4 linked regions of the Xenopus tropicalis genome follow. The protein of the gene in region 3 purifies or fractionates together with the protein of the main gene of each other region. This does not show direct contact. Links are inferred from orthologs where the notes say so. Each region holds a gene or a part of one and is shown on either strand. Other genes may lie near its edges. The genes, in order: stau1, hnrnpu, ilf2 and hnrnpr.

Evidence for each region.
Region 1: the proteins of ilf2 (region 3) and stau1 purify together in Homo sapiens (affinity purification with mass spectrometry; 3 studies listed by BioGRID). This does not show direct contact. The link is inferred for Xenopus tropicalis from reciprocal best matches to the Homo sapiens genes ILF2 and STAU1.
Region 2: the proteins of ilf2 (region 3) and hnrnpu fractionate together in Homo sapiens (co-fractionation; 3 studies listed by BioGRID and IntAct, with this or other methods). This does not show direct contact. The link is inferred for Xenopus tropicalis from reciprocal best matches to the Homo sapiens genes ILF2 and HNRNPU.
Region 4: the proteins of ilf2 (region 3) and hnrnpr purify together in Homo sapiens (affinity purification with mass spectrometry; 3 studies listed by BioGRID and IntAct, counting the BioPlex papers as one, with this or other methods). This does not show direct contact. The link is inferred for Xenopus tropicalis from reciprocal best matches to the Homo sapiens genes ILF2 and HNRNPR.

Annotation. Positions count from the first base shown.
Region 1 is NC_030686.2:38,141,424-38,145,422, forward strand, and holds the start of stau1 (double-stranded RNA-binding protein Staufen homolog 1), read left to right. Parts: upstream 1-1,199; 5' UTR 1,200-1,404; intron 1,405-3,999. UniProt on the Homo sapiens protein: Binds double-stranded RNA (regardless of the sequence) and tubulin.
Region 2 is NC_030681.2:44,495,711-44,501,104, reverse strand, and holds the end of hnrnpu (heterogeneous nuclear ribonucleoprotein U), read left to right. Parts: intron 1-48; coding exon 49-161; intron 162-322; coding exon 323-586; intron 587-1,173; coding exon 1,174-1,293; intron 1,294-1,384; coding exon 1,385-1,510; intron 1,511-2,515; coding exon 2,516-2,684; intron 2,685-2,881; coding exon 2,882-3,148; intron 3,149-3,639; coding exon 3,640-3,827; intron 3,828-3,971; coding exon 3,972-4,046; intron 4,047-4,390; coding exon 4,391-4,444; 3' UTR 4,445-5,202; downstream 5,203-5,394. UniProt on the Homo sapiens protein: DNA- and RNA-binding protein involved in several cellular processes such as nuclear chromatin organization, telomere-length regulation, transcription, mRNA alternative splicing and stability, Xist-mediated transcriptional silencing and mitotic cell progression.
Region 3 is NC_030684.2:144,166,837-144,171,870, forward strand, and holds the end of ilf2 (interleukin enhancer-binding factor 2 homolog), read left to right. Parts: intron 1-838; coding exon 839-953; intron 954-2,370; coding exon 2,371-2,461; intron 2,462-2,560; coding exon 2,561-2,718; 3' UTR 2,719-2,731; intron 2,732-3,560; 3' UTR 3,561-3,744; downstream 3,745-5,034. UniProt on the Homo sapiens protein: Chromatin-interacting protein that forms a stable heterodimer with interleukin enhancer-binding factor 3/ILF3 and plays a role in several biological processes including transcription, innate immunity or cell growth.
Region 4 is NC_030678.2:82,754,031-82,760,100, reverse strand, and holds the end of hnrnpr (heterogeneous nuclear ribonucleoprotein R), read left to right. Parts: intron 1-333; coding exon 334-483; intron 484-1,381; coding exon 1,382-1,503; intron 1,504-2,270; coding exon 2,271-2,883; 3' UTR 2,884-4,752; downstream 4,753-6,070. UniProt on the Homo sapiens protein: Component of ribonucleosomes, which are complexes of at least 20 other different heterogeneous nuclear ribonucleoproteins (hnRNP). hnRNP play an important role in processing of precursor mRNA in the nucleus.

The sequences.
Region 1 (3,999 bases), on a different chromosome or scaffold from region 3:
GTCTGAACTCTACAGCCCAAGTCACAAGGGTGCTCAGGAAGCTGTGTTGCTGCTCATTTACCCCTAAGGCTAATGCCAGAAGTGGCGTTTTTACGCTGCGTATTTTCTCCGCCTAAAAACGCCACACAGCCCCTGACTATGGCGTTTTTCAGCCTAGTACTGGTGACGCAGCAAATCCCGTTTCCATGGTGCTAATAGTGCGAAATAGTAAAAACGCCGCCTATTTCCGCTAGGTCTGGCAGCTGCCTTTGTGTATACATAGGAATAGCTTGCTGTGCAAATACTGGCGTATTTCGGCCAACGCTTGAAAAATCCGTGCTAAGGCGTTTTGTATGGTATTTACGCATAGTGTGGTTTCCATCGAGACTGTTTAAGTTATTTCTACGGATGATGATATCGTGCGTTTTTCAGCCGCCGAGAGAATTAGAAAATACGCAGCGTAAAAACGCCACGTGTGGCATCAGCCTAAGAGCATGCAGCCATTTGCAGAGTCCTCCTTACCTGGGCTAGGTATTTCTGGGGCTGAAGAATGAGGGGATTTGGGGAGCAATTATAGGACAAGAGAGAGATGGACCTTTGGGAAGGGCATCATAAAGGGACTCTGGAATTCCACCCAAATATCTATGGGAAGCCCAGGGGCTTGGTGATTGGCTCATTCAGAGTTAACCCTGTGCTTGTTGATGTGAAAGCCTTTGGCTAGTTGCAGCCTGGGCAAGCCTCAGCTGGAGGATCGCTCCTAGGTCTCTCACAGTTCCAAGCAGGTGTCCCCCAACCCCTGTGAATAGGAGGCATTTTCTCTATAGCCCCCCACTGAGTAAAGTTTCACACATTCTCTCACATGCAAGGAAAGGCACAAAGTCCGCCCGGGTACCGTAACCAATAACAACCAATAAGGTTTGCTTTTACAGGAGGCAAGTAAAAGGTCATTTTTGATTGGTTGGTACAAGTGGGACCCAGCGCACACCTTGCACCTTTCTCAGCTCCATTGATTGTAAGATTCCCAGCCATAGCCATGTCAGAGGGAAATACTACAGATACTCAGCCCCGGGGGGGTGCCAGTAGTGTAATCAGCATGATTAAACCCGATTAAACCCGATTAATCCCCGCAAGCCTATTCCCATTGCCGCATCTCACAAACACTCCGCCAAGCAGACACACACCAGCCGGTACTATAGCCCCGCCTTTCCTTCATTCCCCGCCCCTAAACCATTCCGCCCGGCTGGTGACGTCACTTCCGGAATCTCCGGCTCTCCATTCTCTTTAGTGTTTGCCGTGTCCGAGTCTCCCCCCTTCCTCTTTCCGCCGGTCTCCTGGTACCGAGCCCCCGCTTCACTACATGGACTAGGGTGTGAGCGCCTTCCCTTCCACTCCCGGGCACACAGCAGGGACGAAGACAGAGAGAAGGTGAGCCAGCGGGGCTGGGTGGGAGCGGGGCTGGGTGGGAGCAGGCCCACTGGCAGGGGGGAGGGAGCGCCTACTGGGCAGGGACTTTGCAAAGCGCTGGGGCGTCTGGGAAATTGTTGGTCCCCGACTTGGATACTTCTTCTGTACCCACCCCAGTCTCTGTCTCACCCTCCACCCATATTCCTGCCCATTGTGCCCTTTGCACCCATACACCTGCTCACTATGCCCACTGAGCCCAAATCCCTGCCCACTGTGCCCTCAGCGCCCAAACCCCTGCCCACTGTGCCCTCAGTGCCCAAACCCCTGCCCACTGCGCCCTCAGCGCCCAAACCCCTGCCCACTGCGCCCTCAGCGCCCAAACCCCTGCCCACTGCGCCCTCAGCGCTCAAACCCCTGCCCACTGCGCCCTCAGCGCCCAAACCCCTGCCCACTGGGCCCTCAGCGCCCAAACCCCTACCCACTGCGCCCTCAGCGCCCAAACCCCTACCCACTGTGCCCTCAGCGCCCAAACCCCTGCCCACCGCGCCATCAGCGCCCAAACCCCTGCCCACTGCGCCCTCAGCGCCCAAACCCCTGCCCACTGCGCCCTCAGCGCCCAAACCCCTGCCCACTGCGCCCTCAGCGCCCAAACCCCTGCCCACTGCGCCCTCAGCGCCCAAACCCCTGCCCACTGCGCCCTCAGCGCCCAAACCCCTGCCCACTGCGCCCTCAGCGCCCAAACCCCTGCCCACTGCGCCCTCAGCGCCCAAACCCCTGCCCACTGCGCCCTCAGCGCCCAAACCCCTGCCCACTGCGCCCTCAGCGCCCAAACCCCTGCCCACTGCGCCCAAACCCCTGCCCACTGCGCCCTCAGCGCCCAAACCCCTGCCCACTGCGCCCTCAGCACCCAAACCCGCGCCCTCAGCGCCCAAACCCCTGCCCACTGCGCCCTCAGCGCCCAAACCCCTGCCCACTGCGCCCTCAGCGCCCAAACCCCTGCACACTGGGCCCTTTGTACCTAGTGCACCCCTGCCCTCACATCCTTCCCCAGTGGCCCCTCTATAGACCCTCTCAATGTTCTTGCTCCCATTGTGCTCCCTGCACCCACATCCTCCATCTGCAGTGTCTCTTGTTATACAGTTCCAATATGCTTTTTAGATGCCGCCCCTGTCTGTGCATTATTACAGTATTCGTACCCATGAGCTTTTTCCCTTCATACATATTTATTGTGCCCCCCGTACTGTCCATACCCTGTGTGCCTCCTGCTCTCTACATACCCACTGTGCCATTAAAGCTGCTGCCCCCCTCTGTACCTATCCAGTGTGCCCTCTGAACCAACATACCTGTGTAATGCGCCTCCATATTTAGTAAACTCTTTGCACCCCTATTCCAAATACCCCACTTTATAGTGCGTCTCACCTAGTGAGTGTGTCCGGTTCTGTGCTCCCCATTTCCGACACCCACTGCACACATTTCCCTGAGGTGGTGCGTTACATTATACGCTACATGCACAGCAATTACCATATTAAAGGCAAAGTAGAACCACCTCATACAAACACACAGTGATCTGTCAGCGCGAGGACAAGCTCCTGTGTAGTTCTGCCCTATGGGTGCCCTTCTACTGCTTTACCCAGACTTATAGGGGATATGAACCCAAAATGACACAATGCACAATTTGCTTAATTAACAAAAATGCCATTCTAAGCCACTTTCCAATATACATTCTTTAAAACCATTGTCAAGTTCTTTGCAAATGTAATTGCTAATAATGCATTTCTCTGTCCCATTCTGCACTGTAGCAGAAGTTCTTCTCAGCTGGTCTGGGTCAAAAGTCAGAATCAGCCGAGCAGAGAATATAAACAGCCAGACACACACTGCTTTCACTAGCACCTATATTTAGAGAACTTCAGAACAACTGAAGCTTGGTGTTTCATGTGTATTGGAAAGTATTTACATTTTCTATCCTTAAGCAAAAAGGCAACATATATAAAAAAAAGCAATTGGATAATTGCAAACTTCCCCTTGCTTTTTAAACATTGGGTAAGGGGACCTCTCGTCACCGCTTGCACAGTGTTTCCCATTGCAGCAACTCGCAGTGCCGCTGTGCTTATGGCTACATAGGCAGAACCCTTGCTCCCAAATGTATCTTTTTTTTTTTGTTGTTAATATAAAAAAGGGGAAATTCACGGTACAGTTTAGTTTTAGTTTGCAATCTTCCCTATTTTTATGAATTTTGGAAATCAACTCACTGACCCCCTCAGACAAAACCGTGTCTGAATAATCGTAATTTAATTTAACAAAAAAAAAAAAATTAGCAAAGACAACTTATGAGTTTTATAGTTGCTGGGGGTTGTTGACCCTAGAAACCAGATGGCTGTTTCTCCCAGCAGCGGTGGAAGAGGGCAAAATTTGATATAAATATGGCAGCAGGGCAGGGAAACGTTTCCAAAAAGTATACGTGAAACCATGGTAGCGGATTTCATGACAGAGGCTTGCGAGTACAACCACCAATAACCAATCAGATCCCTGCTTTCACTTTCTAACTTGGAGTAAGCTGATTGCTAATTGGTTGTAAAGTAATGGTGCATTTGGGTTTGTTAGACAGAAATCCTACAC
Region 2 (5,394 bases), on a different chromosome or scaffold from region 3:
AAACAAATACATTAACAGCCTAATACAATTTTATTTTTGCTTTACTAGGGGAGGAGGAAAATTCCTATGGTTATTCTCTCAAAGCAGCAAAATGTTGCAATGGTGTTGCTGAGGATTATGGAGAGAAATATGATGAGAATGATGTGATCACTTGCTGTGCTGTGAGTAATTCATGTTTAATTCCCATTAAAACATCTTGTGTGCTACAGTTGGAGTTCTTTTAAATTTGGCAAAGTATAATGAAATATCTTGCTTTTGATTGGGTTAGCATTTAAAAGTGGGGACACTAATTTTGATCTTCACTGGTTTTTTTCTGTTGCAGAATTTTGAAGAAGATGAAATAGAACTTTCTTATGCAAAAAATGGCCAAGACCTTGGAGTTGCTTTTAAGATTAACAAAGATACCATATTGGAGCAGGCTCTCTTCCCACACATTCTCTGCCACAACTGTGCCGTAGAATTCAACTTTGGGCAAATGGCAGAACCATTTTTTTCTATCCCTGAAGGCTATACATTAATTCAGAACGTTCCTTTAGAGGACAGAGTCAGAGCACCTCTGGGGCCAGAACAAAAGCAGGATTGTGAAGTAAGTATATTTGAAAGTAAACTGAAGAGAACAGTTTTTTTTTCTTCTCCCTCTTTTTGCATCTTTCAATTCATGTTGTCTGGTTTTGGGTGTAAACTATAGGTGGGAGAACTGGAAAGACATTTAGCCAGTGCTTATTGTTGCAGATACTCTAAGATCACTGCTCTGTAGTGCTCCTCAAAGCAAATTAGGCAGAAGGGTGTCCAAGCACTTCTGCCTTGTGCTAGTGCTGAGTTCATCTGGCCTTGGCATGTTTGCATGTTCTCTGTTTCTGTGTGGGATTTCTTCCACACTCATACAGGCAGGTTAATTGCTCATGATTAACACTGATCATGTTGGTGCTATTTAAATACTGGATAATAAAATCTTTACTAGGTTGAAGATAAGTGATACACACGCTTGCCAAGGACAGTTACTGTTAAACTTCATTGGAACTCTTGTTGGTTAATTTATCTTGTGTTTTTATGTGTGGTATAGTGATATGGTTATTCGTGTCATAATGCTTAATATGTGCTCTTTTTTTTAGAATTAAGAATACAAATACATTTATTACATTCAGAGCAAATATGTTTTTTTTTTTTTTAAAGGTTATAATGATGATTGGCTTGCCAGGTGCTGGAAAAACAACATGGGTAACTAATCATACTGAACAAAACCCTGGCAAATACAACATACTTGGAACGAACACTATTATGGAAAAGATGACGGTAAGAATCCTAATATATAATTTTGGTATGTTAACCTTTTTTTTTTTTTTTTTTTCTTGACATTTTTACTTTAAAACCCTTTTCTTTGTAGGTTGGCTGCAAAAAGCAAATGTCTGACACTGGAAAGTTAAATGCTTTGCTGCAGAGGGCCCCACAGTGCCTAAGCAAATTTATTGAGATTGCTGCTCGCAAAAAAAGGCATTTTATCTTGGATCAGGTAAGTTTTTTTTTTATATATATATATATATATATATTATTTATATTGCCATTTTTATACAGGGCCTTAGAGAGACATACCTTGACCGGCAGTGTTTTCTGCTTTCAGGCAATTGTTAAACTTTGTTTAGAAACCTGCTGTCTTCTATATTTTGTTAAATAAAAAATATAATTAATTTTAGTCATGTATGCTTTTAAATATAAATAAATTGTATATTTACCGTTGGCTAGTAAAAATTTCAGAAAACTTACCATAGTCTATAGAAGTAAAATACAAGTTAACCTTTTCTCAGAAGAACCTCAGTAATTGAGGTTGGTAATTAGAAATGTTATTAACTAATGTAGCATATTGTAACAATTTAAAAAAAATCTGAAGTTTTTGCATAAGTAAAGGAATTATTCAAAAGGTGAAAAATGAAACTTTAAATTTTAGTATTAGAATGTCAAGTTATTTCTGATCTATTAGAAAACAGTGGGAGTGAAAATATTTTAAAGGCAAACAATTCTTTAAAGTGATCCATAATTTCACATGTTAATATGATAATTATTAATACAATAACAAACCTTGCTTTCAGCATACAGGGCTTTTTTTTTTTCAATAGAAATAAGTCCATTTTACCTCACTTTGTATAAAACTTATAACTGAAATATAAGCTATAGTAATTAAGACACCTTGAGCTTTCTAACCTTTAAATGCAGTATTTTAAGTACAGGTGTGGAATATATTGTACAAAATACTTAGCACCAGGGAGTCTTTATACAAAATGGAGCACCCTGCCATAAGGCTACTAAGGTGCCTTAATAGTTTTCTAATAATAACCAGAACAGCAAAATCTATTTGTAATCATACAAGGCCCCTCTGCCTTTCATCAGGTTTAAGCTGTAGTGTGTGTGTACATACACTATCAAACTGATTTGTTTCTTGTGTTGAGTGGTGCAAAGTGTTCCAGCTTTGCCTTCCTAAAGTTAACATTTTTTTGTTTGACATTTCTTTTCTCTTTTGCAGACAAATGTGTCAGTAGCTGCACAGAGAAGGAAAATGTGCTTGTTTGCTGGCTTCCAACGCAAAGCAGTTGTTGTTTGCCCAACAGACGAGTTATATAAAGAGAGAACACAGAAAAAATCTGAGGTGGAAGGCAAAGATCTTCCAGAACATGCAGTTCTCAAAATGAAAGGTAAGTAGATTTCCATGTTCTTGATCGCCATTGAGCCTCTTCGCAAGGCAGTTTTTCAGAGCTTATGGCTTCTATGCTATGATCTGACACAAACTTGTTATTGGTCTCTAATTTCTACTTTACTTTGTAACAACCATTCTGATATGGTGCTAATATGATGGCCCCTGATAGAGCACATTTTTTTTTTTCCCTCTCAGGTAACTTTACTCTTCCAGAAGCAAGTGAGTGCTTTGATGAAATCAGTTATGTGGAGTTGCAAAAGGAAGATGCTGATAAACTTATTGAGCAGTATAAGGAGGAGAGTAAGACGTCCCTTCCACCAGAGAAAAAACAAAACATTGGAGCAAAGAAACCAAACAAGAACAAAAATACCAAAGGCAGAGGTGGTATGTCTCACGGTCATGGACACAGAGGCCGGGGAGGTGGAGGATACAATATGCGTGGAGGAAATTTCAGGGGTGGAGGTATGTTTGCACCATGTAGTTGTACAGAATATTGTATACATTTAGTAAAGAGGGCTGAGGCAAACATATCAAAGATGACTTAGTTTCAGAATTTGTTCATTGACCTTTGTCAAAACCACCTTAAATATTTAGGCAGGGGTTCAGTGAAGCTGTGACCACAACAAGAGGTCCTCTTGAGAGAGAGATGCCCTCCCCTTTAAGCAACAGGGATTGTTTGTCCATATACTGCAATATACATCCAGCTGGCCAACTATGTCGGTCATCCATGGTCTGGGCAGTCCTACACTTGCTTTTATCTGATTCATTAAAACACCCAAATGGTTGCCCTTTTATTGGCTCATTGGGATCACCTGACTGTAGCTGGAAAGGGTGGGGGTTACAACATGACGCTTACCACTGCTTCTGTGCAAACTAACAAAAAAGGGAAAAGTTGTGCTCACCGCTAAATTTTAAACCATTAGGCATAAATTTAATAACTAACTATCTTGTAGCTCCAGGAAACCGTGGAGGATACAACCGAAGAGGAAATATGCCCCAGCGTGGTGGTGGAGGCGGTGGTGCCGTTGGGTATCCATACCCCCGTGCACCAGTCTATCCTAACAGAGGTGGCTATGGTAACCGTGGAAACTTCAACCGTGGCGGGGGCGGTGGAATGCCCAGCCGTGGCAACTACAACCAGGTAAAACTTTATATTAAGTTTTAATTGTCCCCTCCCATCTTTCTTTGTGCCATGTTTTAGGAAACAAGGGGGGAATTTGGTTGCTAAATATCTTAATTGAGAAACTCTGCATTGCAGTTTATTGACCTAGAATTTTCTCTGCAGAACTTCAGAGGAAGGGGAAATAATCGTGGCTTCAAAAATCAGTCTCAGGGTTACAACCAGTGGCAGCAGCAGGGTGTAAGTATCTCTCACTGAAATTGCTTAATGACTTGCAAACTTTTTTTCCCTTTTTGCACCCTATATTTTTTTTTAATTTTTTTTTATTTCACTGAGCTACTCTAACACACAGACATTTGCCTCCAGCTTTGGCCATATTCCTATAAAATCTTTTGCCGTAAGTTACATAGGATCAATTTTATTACTACTTGAACTTCTTGGAATTAAGTCTGGATTGGGCTCCTAGGTTAAAGTAGTGGGATGAAACTTAATCAAATGTTACACATGACCTAAGCAGTTCTTGTTGGCAAATAAGCTTAAAAGCTTGTTAACATGTTAATATTTACCCCTTTTTCTAATTGCAGCAATACTGGGGTCAAAAGCCATGGAGCCAGCAGTACCACCAAGGATATTATTGAATACCCAAATAAAAATGAACTGATACATATTTCTCTTCAAAACCTTCACAAGAAGTCGACTGTTTTTCTTTAGGCTAACTTTTAAACAAAAAACAAACATTCCACAAGAGGAAGTGCCTGCGGGTTCTTTATTACTTTTGTTTGGGTTATTCCCATTTATTTTGTTTAGTTGCTTTCTGGGTTGAATTTTTTTTTTTTGTACATTTTAATTGCAGTTTTAAAGCGATGAATAAGAACCTTAGCATTGTGCACGATAAGAATGTGTCAGTATTTCAGGGTTCTTCATTTTTATCTGTAATGTGACTTTTTTTTTCCTTTTTTATTACCATAACAAAAGTAAAGATGTTGCTTTGTAACTGGTGTGTTTTATTAAGGACTGCAATGCCATAAGTGTCCAGGGGCTTTTTAGCTGGGATATCCTGTCACACAACAGTTGAAATGTTGGCATGCTAAGTGGCCCTTGTTGACAGATTGGAACTTTGTAAAAACCCGTTTCCTCTCTACCCTCCACATAGGGAATAAATAAGGCATTTTAAGAGTTTCAGGCTAGCTTGTAGCATTGGAGGAATGCTTTATGAAACTTTCACATGAACCATAGGGTGTAGTATGTTAAAGCTGTTCAATGTATTTTGCTTTCTGTGGAAACCGCAGAGACTTTGACTTGTGAAGGTTCAACACCATTTACTCCGTTTGTTATGCATTTTGATTCGAAGAAAAGGCGTATTGCCTATTTCTTATTAAACTAAACTTGTTGTAAATCTAGTTGTCCAATGGGATCTATATGAAGTTAGCTGTGTGTTTGTATCTCCACTTCCCCCATCCCTCTTTATTTGCCTAGTGTGCTTGTAGTTGCACCAACTTTGTAAACTAATGAAATTGTGAGTCGTTTAATATTCAGCATTTCTTTTGAATCATGTCAGTTCTTTAATGGTTATCTCTCACCTGCTAAC
Region 3 (5,034 bases):
AATCTTTAACTAAGGATTCGGCCAAATGCCAAAATAATGGATTCGGTGCATTCCTAATGGTCTTAAAGTGATACTGACACTGAAAGAGATACTTTTTTTAAATATAAATGTACATAAGTTTCCTATAGGTCACGTTGATCATTTTTAATTGATAGCTCTGCTTTTGTAAGTACAGGTATCTGACCCCTTATCCAGAAAGCTCGGAATTACGGAAAGGTCATCTCCCATCTCCATTTTAATCAAATAATTCACATTTTTAAAAATGGTTTCCTTTTTCTCTGTAATAATAAAACCGTACCTGTACTTGATCCCAACTAAGATATAATTACCCCTTATTGGGGCAGAACAGCCCTATTGGGTTTATTTAATGGTTAAATGATTCCCTTTTCTCTGTAATAATAAAACAGTACCTGTACTTGATCCCAACTAAGATATAATTACCCCTTATTGGGGCAGAACAGCCCTATTGGGTTTATTTAATGGTTAAATGATTCCCTTTTCTCTGTAATAATAAAACAGTACCTGTACTTGATCCCAACTAAGATATAATTACCCCTTATTGGGGCAGAACAGCCCTATTGGGTTTATTTAATGGTTAAATGATTCCCTTTTCTCTGTAATAATAAAACAATACCTGTACTTGATCCCAACTAAGATATAATTACCCCTTATTGGGGCAGAACAGCCCTATTGGGTTTATTTAATGGTTAAATGATTCCCTTTTCTCTGTAATAATAAAACAATACCTGTACTTGATCCCAACTAAGATATAATTACCCCTTATTGGGGGCAGAACAGCCCTATTGGGTTTATTTACTGGTTAATGATTCCCTTTCAGACGCTGCCTACAGATGCTCGCCGCCGGCCTTTTCCTCCCCGGCTCAGTTGGCATCACTGACCCCTGTGAAAGTGGCAACTTTAGGGTTCATACAGTCATGACTCTGGAGCAGCAGGTAAAGGGTTACTTCTGCCCCTGGGACCCATTGTAGGGGGCTGGGCACCTACCTGCCAGTATGATTGGGACCCCTGTGGGTACCCGCTGAGGGCTATGTAGAACCCTATACTAGCAGCAAGAACTCTCCTAGCCTGTTCCTATGCGCACAAGTGAAAGGGGTTAAGTTTTAGTATATTACAGAATGGCCTATTCTTAGCAACTTTGCAATTGGTCTTCATTATTTTTGATAGTTTTTTTGGCTGCCGGGGTCAGTGTAGTCAAATCAACAATCGCTCTGTGAACTTTTTTACTCATTACCTTTCCATTCAGTCCCACTCCTTATTCTCTCGATTAAACCACTGCCTAGTTGCTATGGTAAACAAGACCCCAGCAACCAGGTAGATGCTTAAATTGCAAACTGGAGGGCTGCCGAACAAAAAGCTGAAAACCCACTTTAAAAAAAAAAAAAGTCAACCAATTGGAATATTAACGTCAATGTCAGACGAAAACTTTAAAGGACAAGTCAACCCCAGCAATAAGTTGATTCCAATCAACTTTCTAATGTGAATTTATTGAAACTTTTTAGTGCTTTTAAAGGTTCTTGTGTAATTGCTATTGAAAGCAGCATTTGCTGAACAATGTTGCAAAGGTCCGTCTCCCCCAGCGAGTCGGGTCTGTCAGGCTGCTGCCTTGTGTTGTATTGTTTCAGTCCGATAGGGGGAATAGGAAAGGGACAAACACTGCTTCTAGTAGCAATTATTGATATAGATATATATTATAGAGATAGATAGATATTAGAGATAGAGATAGCTGGATGGATAGATAGATATTATAGATAGATAGAGATAGATATTAGAGATAGATAGATATGATAGATAGAGATAGATAGATAGATATGATAGATAGATAGATATGAAAGATAGATAGATAGATAGATAGATATGACAGATAGATAGATATGATAGATATGATAGATAGATAGATATGATAGATAGATAGATATTATAGATAGATAGATATTATAGATAGATAGATGGATATTATAGATAGATGGATATTATAGATGGATATTATAGATGGATATTATAGATGGATATTATAGATGGATATTATAGATGGATATTAAAGATGGATATTATAGATAGATATATAGATATAGATGGATTAGAGATAGATATATACATACAAATAAGTCAGAAACCGTTGCAGATTTGTAATGAATGTATATTGCAAAGTTCCTTAGATTTATGTTTTATATTATATTTTGGGTTGACTTGTCCTTTAATGTGAATAATATTTTTTAGGGTCAGCTGACCATAAGGTTGTGTAGCTTTAGAATTAGAGTGCAATGCAGGGAAGGGGCAAGTACAGGCATGTTTGGGAATACCCCCCCCCCCTTTCCCTGTTTCTAACCCAGTCCCTTCTCCCTTCCCCAGGACATGGTTTGCTACACTGCCCAGACGTTGGTCCGTATTCTCTCCCACGGGGGCTTCCGGAAGATATTGGGCCTGGAGGGAGATGCCAGCGGTAAGGGCACCGGATATACCCCCCCCCCCCCCCCCCATTGGGGCAACTCCCTTCCTGGAACAGCCCCTCCTTACTGACCAATCTCTTTGTTCCCTTCAGCTCTTGCCACGGAAATGTCTACCTGGGACGGAGTCATCGTGACCCCTTCAGAGAAGGCCTATGAGAAGCCCCCCGAGAGGAAGGAGGGAGAGGAGGATGAGAACCAGGATATCCCAGAGGGGGCGGAAGAGGAGGAGAGCATGGAGACACAGGAGTGATACTTATTTAAAGGTACAGGCCCGTATGTACTACCGCCATGCCTGTTGGGGGCAGGGGCTTAGGCCTGACTGGGCGTTTGGTTTGGCTTTTGTAGGTCTGGGAATAAAGGGCTGCTTCCCCTTTAAATTAACTTTTACTATGATATAGACATTTATATTCTGAGAGAATTTGCCATTGGTCTTCATTATTTTTTTTTTTTTAGTTATTTAGCTTCTTGTTGAGCTGCTCTCCTCCGTTTGGTTTTTACTTTACTAAGTTTACTTTTAATGTTATAGAACGGCCAATTCTGAGCAACTTTTCAATTGGTCTTCATTATTTATTTCTTATAGTTTTTTTTAAATGGGGGTCACTGACCCCGGCAGCCAAACCCTATTGCTCTGTGAGGCTCCAGTTTTATTGTTATTGTTACTTTTTATTCCTTATCTTTCTATTCAGCCCCTCCCCTATTCATATTCCTGTCTCTTATTCAAACCACTCCCTGGTTACTAAGGTAACTTGGACCCTAGCAACCTGACAGCTGCTAAACTGCAGAGCTGCTAAAAAAAATATTGAGATAAAAAAACTACACTTACTCACTTTAAATTCCTTATCTTTCTACTCGGCCCCTCCCCTATTCATATATTAGCAACTCTCTCAAACCACTCCCTGGTTACTAAGGTAAATTGGACCCTAGCAACCAGATCATTTAAACTAGTAATAAAACATGAAGACCAATTGCAAACTCTCCATCATAAAAGTCCTATTCAAGATCCTCCTCCCAAAATTACGTTAACCCTTTCCCTTCCCCATGACCACGCCCCTCAGAACCAGCGGCAGCCACTCACCCCCTTTTTTTTTGCAGATTTCAGTTGGTCTGGATCCCCCTCTGCCGGCGCCGAACACATTGGGTCTATTTGTGGACCAAATGCCACGAGTTCCTGTTTTATTTTCATTCGTTCTTAGCTTGTCATGTGACTTGTTTTATACTGTAGGGATACATTGTATTTTTTTTTTTTTTTTGCCAGCAATAAATTTTTATTTCGACACCTCCTTTGAGCTTTTTCTTCCTTCTCTTGATCAGCCAATGAATGGGCAGTTCTGCCTTTTGCTCCCACACTTCTTCCTGTTACAGTTAGAGCTGCATCACTTCCTGTCAGCTGATCTCTGAGGGAGCACACAGCCCATCGCAAAATGGCGGCTCAAAGGAAAGGATCAGCTTGTTGCATTTTGTTTGAAAAAAAAAATAAAAATCACTGATTGGTTGCTATGGGTTGCCACCCATTGCTATGGGATACTACTCCTAGATGTGCAATAGCCAATTACTGTTCTTTTGTGGAGAAAGAAACTGCTGTTCCCTGTAGGGTTGGCCCAACCTATGGCTGCCAGCTCTCCTGCCCAGCCCGGCGGGGGGGGGGGTTTGTTACTGAATCGGCATCAAAAAAGGTTTAAAGACACACACACACCTATTAGGTGATTATGGTAAGTAGCAGTTCCCCTTTAAAGGGGAGGGTCACCTTTAGTGAGTTATAGAATTGCCCATTCTAAGCAACTTTTCAATTGGTCTTTATTTCTTATGGTCTTTGAATTATTCTTCTGCCTCTTTGCAGCTTTCAAATGGGGGTCACTGACCCCGGCAGCCAAACCCTATTGCTCTGTGAGGCTCCAGTTTTATTGTTATTGTTACTTTTTATTCCTTCTCTTTCTATTCAGCCCCTCCCCTATTCATATACCCGCCTCTCATTCAAATCACTCCCTGGTTGCTAAGGTAATTTGAGCCCTAGCAACAGTATATCTGACCCCGGCAGCCAAACCCTATTGCTCTGTGAGGCTCCCGTTTTATTGTTATTGTTACTTTTTATTCCTTATCTTTCTATTCAGCCCCTCCCCTATTCATATACCCGTCTCTCATTCAAACAGCTCCCTGGTTACTAAGGTAATTGGGACCCTAGCAACCAGATACCGTATATACTCGAGTATAAGCCGATGGGAATATAAGCCGAGGTACCGTATATACTCGAGTATAAGCCGATGGGAATATAAGCCGAGGTACCGTATATACTCGAATATAAGCCGATGGGAATATAAGCCGAGGTACCGTATATACTCGAGTATAAACCGATGGGAATATAAGCCGAGGTACCGTATATACTCGAGTATAAACCGATGGGAATATAAGCCGAGGTACCGTATATACTCGAGTATAAGCCGATGGGGATATAAGCCGAGGTACCTGATTTTACCTAAGAAAACTGGAAAAACGTATTGACTCGAGTATAAGCCTAGGGTGGGAAATGCAGCCGCTACTGCTAAGTTTCAATAATCACAATAAATACCAA
Region 4 (6,070 bases), on a different chromosome or scaffold from region 3:
GAGTAATAGTTGGTATTACCATGTTTACAGTTTTTAAGTTATATTGTAAAATTTACACATGGAATTAAAATAGGCCCGTGTGTTTAGCTTTTGTGTGCAAAACAAGCATCGAGAAACTAGTTACATTTTTAACATTCCTTTGCTACATTAGTGAGAGAAGCTGAAACCTTCACCTTCCTTCAGTGTACATTTGTCTAAGGGCTCCTATACAGACTTGCTAGTACACTGATTTAAGTTCTTTGCAGTGGCTGTAGGCTTCCTAACAAGATTTTGCATATAATGTAGAGAACAAAATTTGGGTACCAGTCTTAATTACTGCTGTTTCTTTGTCAGGTCAAAGTCCTATTTGTAAGAAATCTTTCCTCCACTGTGACTGAAGAGATCCTGGAAAAAGCTTTCTCTGTCTTTGGAAAGCTTGAGCGTGTGAAAAAGCTGAAGGATTATGCCTTTGTACACTTTGATGAAAGAGATGCTGCAGTAAGGGTAAGACTGTTTGGAGAAGATGAATGCTATTTTGAAGTATAAAATTGAATTGCTGTTGCTTAATGAGTTCCTGATTTGGTTGCCATGGCACAACAGAGGTAACCTTGCCAATCCCCCCAGGTTATGCTGCTGTGTAGGCAGTAGTCTCAGTTCATTATTCCTGATCCTGTGCTTTCAGAAAGAACCAGCTTGTTACAATGGATCTGCAATCAGATAAGTCTATGAAGGTTTTCATTCAACTAGGTCATGGTATAAGTAAATCTAGAGCAGGGGTCCCCAACCTTTCTTACCCGTGAGCCACATTCAAATGTAAAAAGAGTTGGGGAGCAACACAAGTATGAAACATGTTTCTGGGGGTGCCAAATAAGGACTGTTATTGGCCATTTGGTAGCCCCTATGTGGACTGGCAGCCTACAGGAGACTCTGTTTAGCAGTACTAATGGTTTTTATTCAACCAAAACTTGCCTCTGAGCCAAGACTTCATAAATAAGCACCTGCTTTAAGGCCACTGGGAGCAACATCCAGGAGTTTGGAGAGCAACATGTTGCTCACAAGCCACTGGTTGGGGATCACTGATCTAGAGCAACTGGACTTGCTGTAATGACCGAAGACATTTCACTTCTCATATGAGGAGCTTCTTCAGTTTAATTGAATATTATGGGAAGTGCCTCGGCATATAAATTATATTCTGAGGTCTTCTCGTACCAGTCAGTTGAACTGAGAAAGCTGGGTTTTGTGGAAATAAGTTTAAAAAAAACTATGAAAATCAGAATGCTAAGAAATCTGCCTCAGACTCTTTAGTCCACCAACCTCTTGTTTATATACACTTTTAGAACATGCTTTTGAGTATTCATTTGTACTTTTTTCTTTTTGAATTTTTTTTTAATTTCTTATTTAGGCCATGGATGAAATGAATGGAACAGAACTGGAGGGGGAAGAGATTGAAATAGTTCTTGCTAAGCCACCTGATAAAAAAAGGAAGGAACGACAAGCAGCACGTCAGGCTTCCCGGGGAAGTTCGTGAGTATATTGAGATTTTTGAGTAAACATTGTCAACTGAAGCAACTGAAAGGTCAAGCTCTGGATGTTTTAACTAATCTATAAAATTCATGCTGGCATGAACTGCTAGTTCACCAATTTTTGTTGTTTTTTTTTTTTTATGTTTTTGTTAGTAATAATTTTAATACAAATGTCAATGTATCTCGTTAGACTCAAGCTAGAGCCTAATTTTTCAGTTTGGATTTTTCAAATAGCAGTATTAAAAAATTCTTGTGTAATTTTCATTTGTGCCTTTACTTTGCTTTTGTAGAATTGTTTTCAATCTGTCTGCAGTTAAACCTAATTTTTGTGTTTTTTTCTGTTTCTCCTATAACTTATATTTACCAAGGCTTAACTTTGATTTTTATTGTGCCTGTACTTGGGCAGATATTGGGGGTGACATGGACATATTTGGCTTAGTTAGCAGCATGTTGGCTTGTGAATGGAGTCAAAACTTTTGCCTTCCTGAAGAATATCTGATTGTGACTTTATTTAGTCACAATATCTGATTTAGGATAGAAAACCACAAGACTCCCAGGATGAAATCATTCAGTGGCCAAGGGTTAAATGACCGATAAGCCCATCTGGCCCTTGTTGAGTTGGGCAGGTTGCTTGGGGCATAAGGCAGCATTTGGTTTTTTCAATCAGCCTCCTTATAAGAATTCAAATGTGTTAATATATTAAAAATGGTATGAATATGTATTTGTAAAATGCTTTAATACTACTTTTTTTTCCCCCCCATTCATTAGGTATGACGATTATTACTATTACCCTCCACCTCGAATGCCACCTCCTGGTAGGGGCAGGGGCCGTGGAGGCAGAGGGGGCTATTCCTTTCCCCAAGATTACTATGGCTATGAAGATTACTATGATGATTACTATGCATACGACTATCATGACTACCGTGGGGGTTATGATGATCCATACTATGGCTATGACGATGGCTACCCTGTGCGAGGAAGAGGAGGCAGAGGTGGGAGGGGTGGACCACCGCCCCCCAGAGGTAGATCTGTTCCTCCCCAGCGTGGAGGGCGCTCCAGCTATGCCCCTAGAGGTTCTCCAATGGGCCCTCCTCGCGGATCCCGTGGTGGACGTGGAGGACCCGCTCAGCAACAGCCACGAGGGCGAAACTCAAGGGGCAGCCGTGGCAGCAGAGGTGGGAACGTTGGTGGTAAAAGAAAGGCAGATGGTTATACCCAGCCAGACTCAAAGCGCCGCCAGACCAACAACCAACAGAACTGGGGGACCCAGCCTATCGCCCAGCAGCCATTGCAGCAAGGTGGTGATTATACTGGTAACTATGGTTACAGTAATGACAACCAGGAGTTTTATCAGGATACTTATGGGCAGCAGTGGAAATAGGCAAGGTCATATTCTTCAGACAAAACACACATACACCCACTCTTAAATATATATTTCATATATATATATTTGTGCTTTGGGAACTCTGCCTCTAATTTTATTGGCAGTGTTTCATCATTAAGCTGTATATACCTTAGTTTTTGCTTTATTGCTCTGTTACAGTTGGTATTCAAATGGAATGCACTGGTAGAGTTATGGTATTTTAAGTATTGCTGAACCTTGTGTTCTGGATATGGGGATTTGGAGAGTATTATGGGCATAAGTCAGCAGTTAACTAGAGCATGTATCCTGTATTTGGGCTTTTCTTTCCCATTCCACCCCTGTGCAGAAAGTTTTTGTCTGCTTATATTTAGAGAAGTAACTTTGTGGCATTGTCTTCTATACATGGACTGCAATGTTTTTTGTGCTATTAAGTCATTTTGTTTAAAATAATTGGTTACAACCCCTCCCCAGTTCAAGAATACTAAGGATTACCAGTGTTTTTAGTGGTTTTTAAACTTTTTTTTTTATTATTATGTGAGGGGTTTTAATGCTGTTGGACAATGTTCAATCATGATTTTGACAGGATGCAGTATTGACAATTTCCCCTTGGATTTGGAGTATCTTCTACAGGATTAAGCTGTATATAACACTAGTGCTGTCTTAAGTAAAAAAAAAAAAAAAAAAAAATTAAAAAAATATTTTAAAGATTCATGTATTAAATGACTGTGCATTTTGGATTCCTAGAACTAGGTGAAGTTGTGTTTATTTAATTTTTTTTTATGAAGGCAAAAAATATGCCTAACAAGTTTGGCTTGGGTAACAAAAGCCTTGACCGTTTGTTCTGTGACTGTATTTACAAATTTATTGTTCATGTACAATTTCAATAAAACTCCACAAAATCCTATTGCAAAAAAATTCTAAATATACATATATATGAAGTTAAAAGAATCATTAAAAAACAAAAAAAACAAAAATGCAAAAACTGAGTTGTGATTCTTGCAACAAAAACTTCCAAAAGACTGAACTGCATATGTGAGTGATCAAATCTGTAAACTACAAACTTAATCCATGATATAAAGCTATGAAAGTGGGTTTTAAATTAATAATTTGTAAAATCAATTAAATACACTTGGTTGCCAAATTATCTTGATCTTGATGTGCATTTTCTTAGGTGGTTTGAAGGCAAAAGATGAAATTGTATACATTTTATATACATATATGCATATGACCTCAATCTACATATTGATTGAGAATGGGCTTTTCCAGTAATTTATGTTTGATTAATCTGATAATTTTTCTGTTTTGAATTTTCCCTGTGCACACCCACAAAACAAATAATGGTTTTAATGGTCTAGAAGACCAGACTACACTATATACAGACTTTAGAAGACAAAAATTCTACATTTCTTGATAATTTCTGTTAAAAACAAACTGGCTCATAAAACCCTCTTAAGGTTTGTATACTAGTATCCACTAAAAAACCAAAATATGGTTACTTTTGCTGTCAATATGCATCAGCGAGGCTGGTAGAGCAGTTATTGTAAGGTATCAAGGTGTGGCTTACAGAATATAGATGATCTCTCCACACTTACATCCAGTAACACATTAGACTGCCTGTTTCCAACAGTGCTCAGCTACCTTCAATAGTAGTAGTTTTTAGGGTACATATAATCGTACTCTCTGCTACAAAATTCTAACACCTATAAGTAAAGTTGTTTTTCTTTCCAGCATTTTTATGGAAAGATTGCTTTCCCCCCTTTTGTTTGGTTCTAACGTCTTTTTTTCTTTGGATATTTTATTTGCCACCCTATCTTCATAGCATTGCCTTGTTTGTTATATAATGATCACATACTAAGATTTTGGCAGATGACCATTTTCTTAGCTATTAACATGAAGAAAATTTGATCAAAATTACCAGGATTTAATTCTTAAGGCAACAATAGTGGCTTGTTGCCCACAGAAGGGTGTCTCCTCCTGTGGTTGATAAAGCGTCCGGAAATACCTTGTAAAACACTTTACATATGTTTATTAAGCCATGATTAAGCTGAGTTTTTGCTTGCAAAATATACTTACAGTGGTCCCCATTCTTCTGCATTACAGGGTATTGTCAGACATTTTTTTTTGCTGCAGGAAAGACTTAACTCCCTTGGATGACAAATGAATGTCATTGCTCTAAATGTCACAACTAGATTCTGGATTCTAGTGTCCATTCTAGTATTAAAAATAGGAAAAAGCAAATCCTAAAATGTCAAGTGCCAATAAATAACTATTTGTCGTTTTAAAATTTTCGTGACTAATTTCTTCTGTGCTCCAGGGGGCAAAAAGCTAAAGCTAATCATTTTAATGTTTTTAACAACTGCATACAAATCATTTGCTTCAGGCAAAATGAGCCTTGTGTGAAATTGAACTTGTTTACCAGTTTGATTTTGTGAAGAGGTTTGCCATCCATTAAAACTTTATGGTGACAAAATACAAAAATTAATTTTAAAGCCTGTGTTTAGATATTTTATACATTAATTGTGTTTTTGAATGGATTTGCCTGACCGCTTCCTGAAACAAGCCTTTTGTAGGGAGTGGTGGAGAAAACTTCATGATTTCTAAATCTATTTGATCACTCATTTACAGCAGTGTTTAGAATATATTTCTGACTGTATTATATGTATGGAAATTCAATTCATATTTCAAACAGGTCTGAGCAGAGGAAACATGTCAGTTCAAAGATCTCAGTACTTTACTGACCGTGGATTTCTATTACCATTGGTGTCAGCATCTACATCAAGAATCTTCCTCCAAATTTCAGCTGTACAATTAATTTTGTAAAGTAAAGGATTTTTGTTGACCAAAATGTGTTTCAAAACTCATTTCATTAAAGATGAAATTGAAGATTAAATTGTTTATACAGCATTAAAGTGAAATTTGAATTGTGACTAATCCAATCTACTTCTGTGTCTTAAAGTGCACTCCATGATCCTTGTGGAAATTAATTGTATCCATCTTCTAAAGCAATTTTCACATGCAATATATTTTTTACTTTTTTTTTTTCGTGATTGTTAGTTTCCTCCAGCACTTGGTTCTTTCAAGACTTCCTAATGATCTAGATAGACAGGTGACTGGAAAAAAATCATTACATATTTAAGGATCTTTCAGTTTGAGAGATTCTTGTTTGAAAGGTAATGTCCCACTGAGTTGGTAAATGAGTAATTAT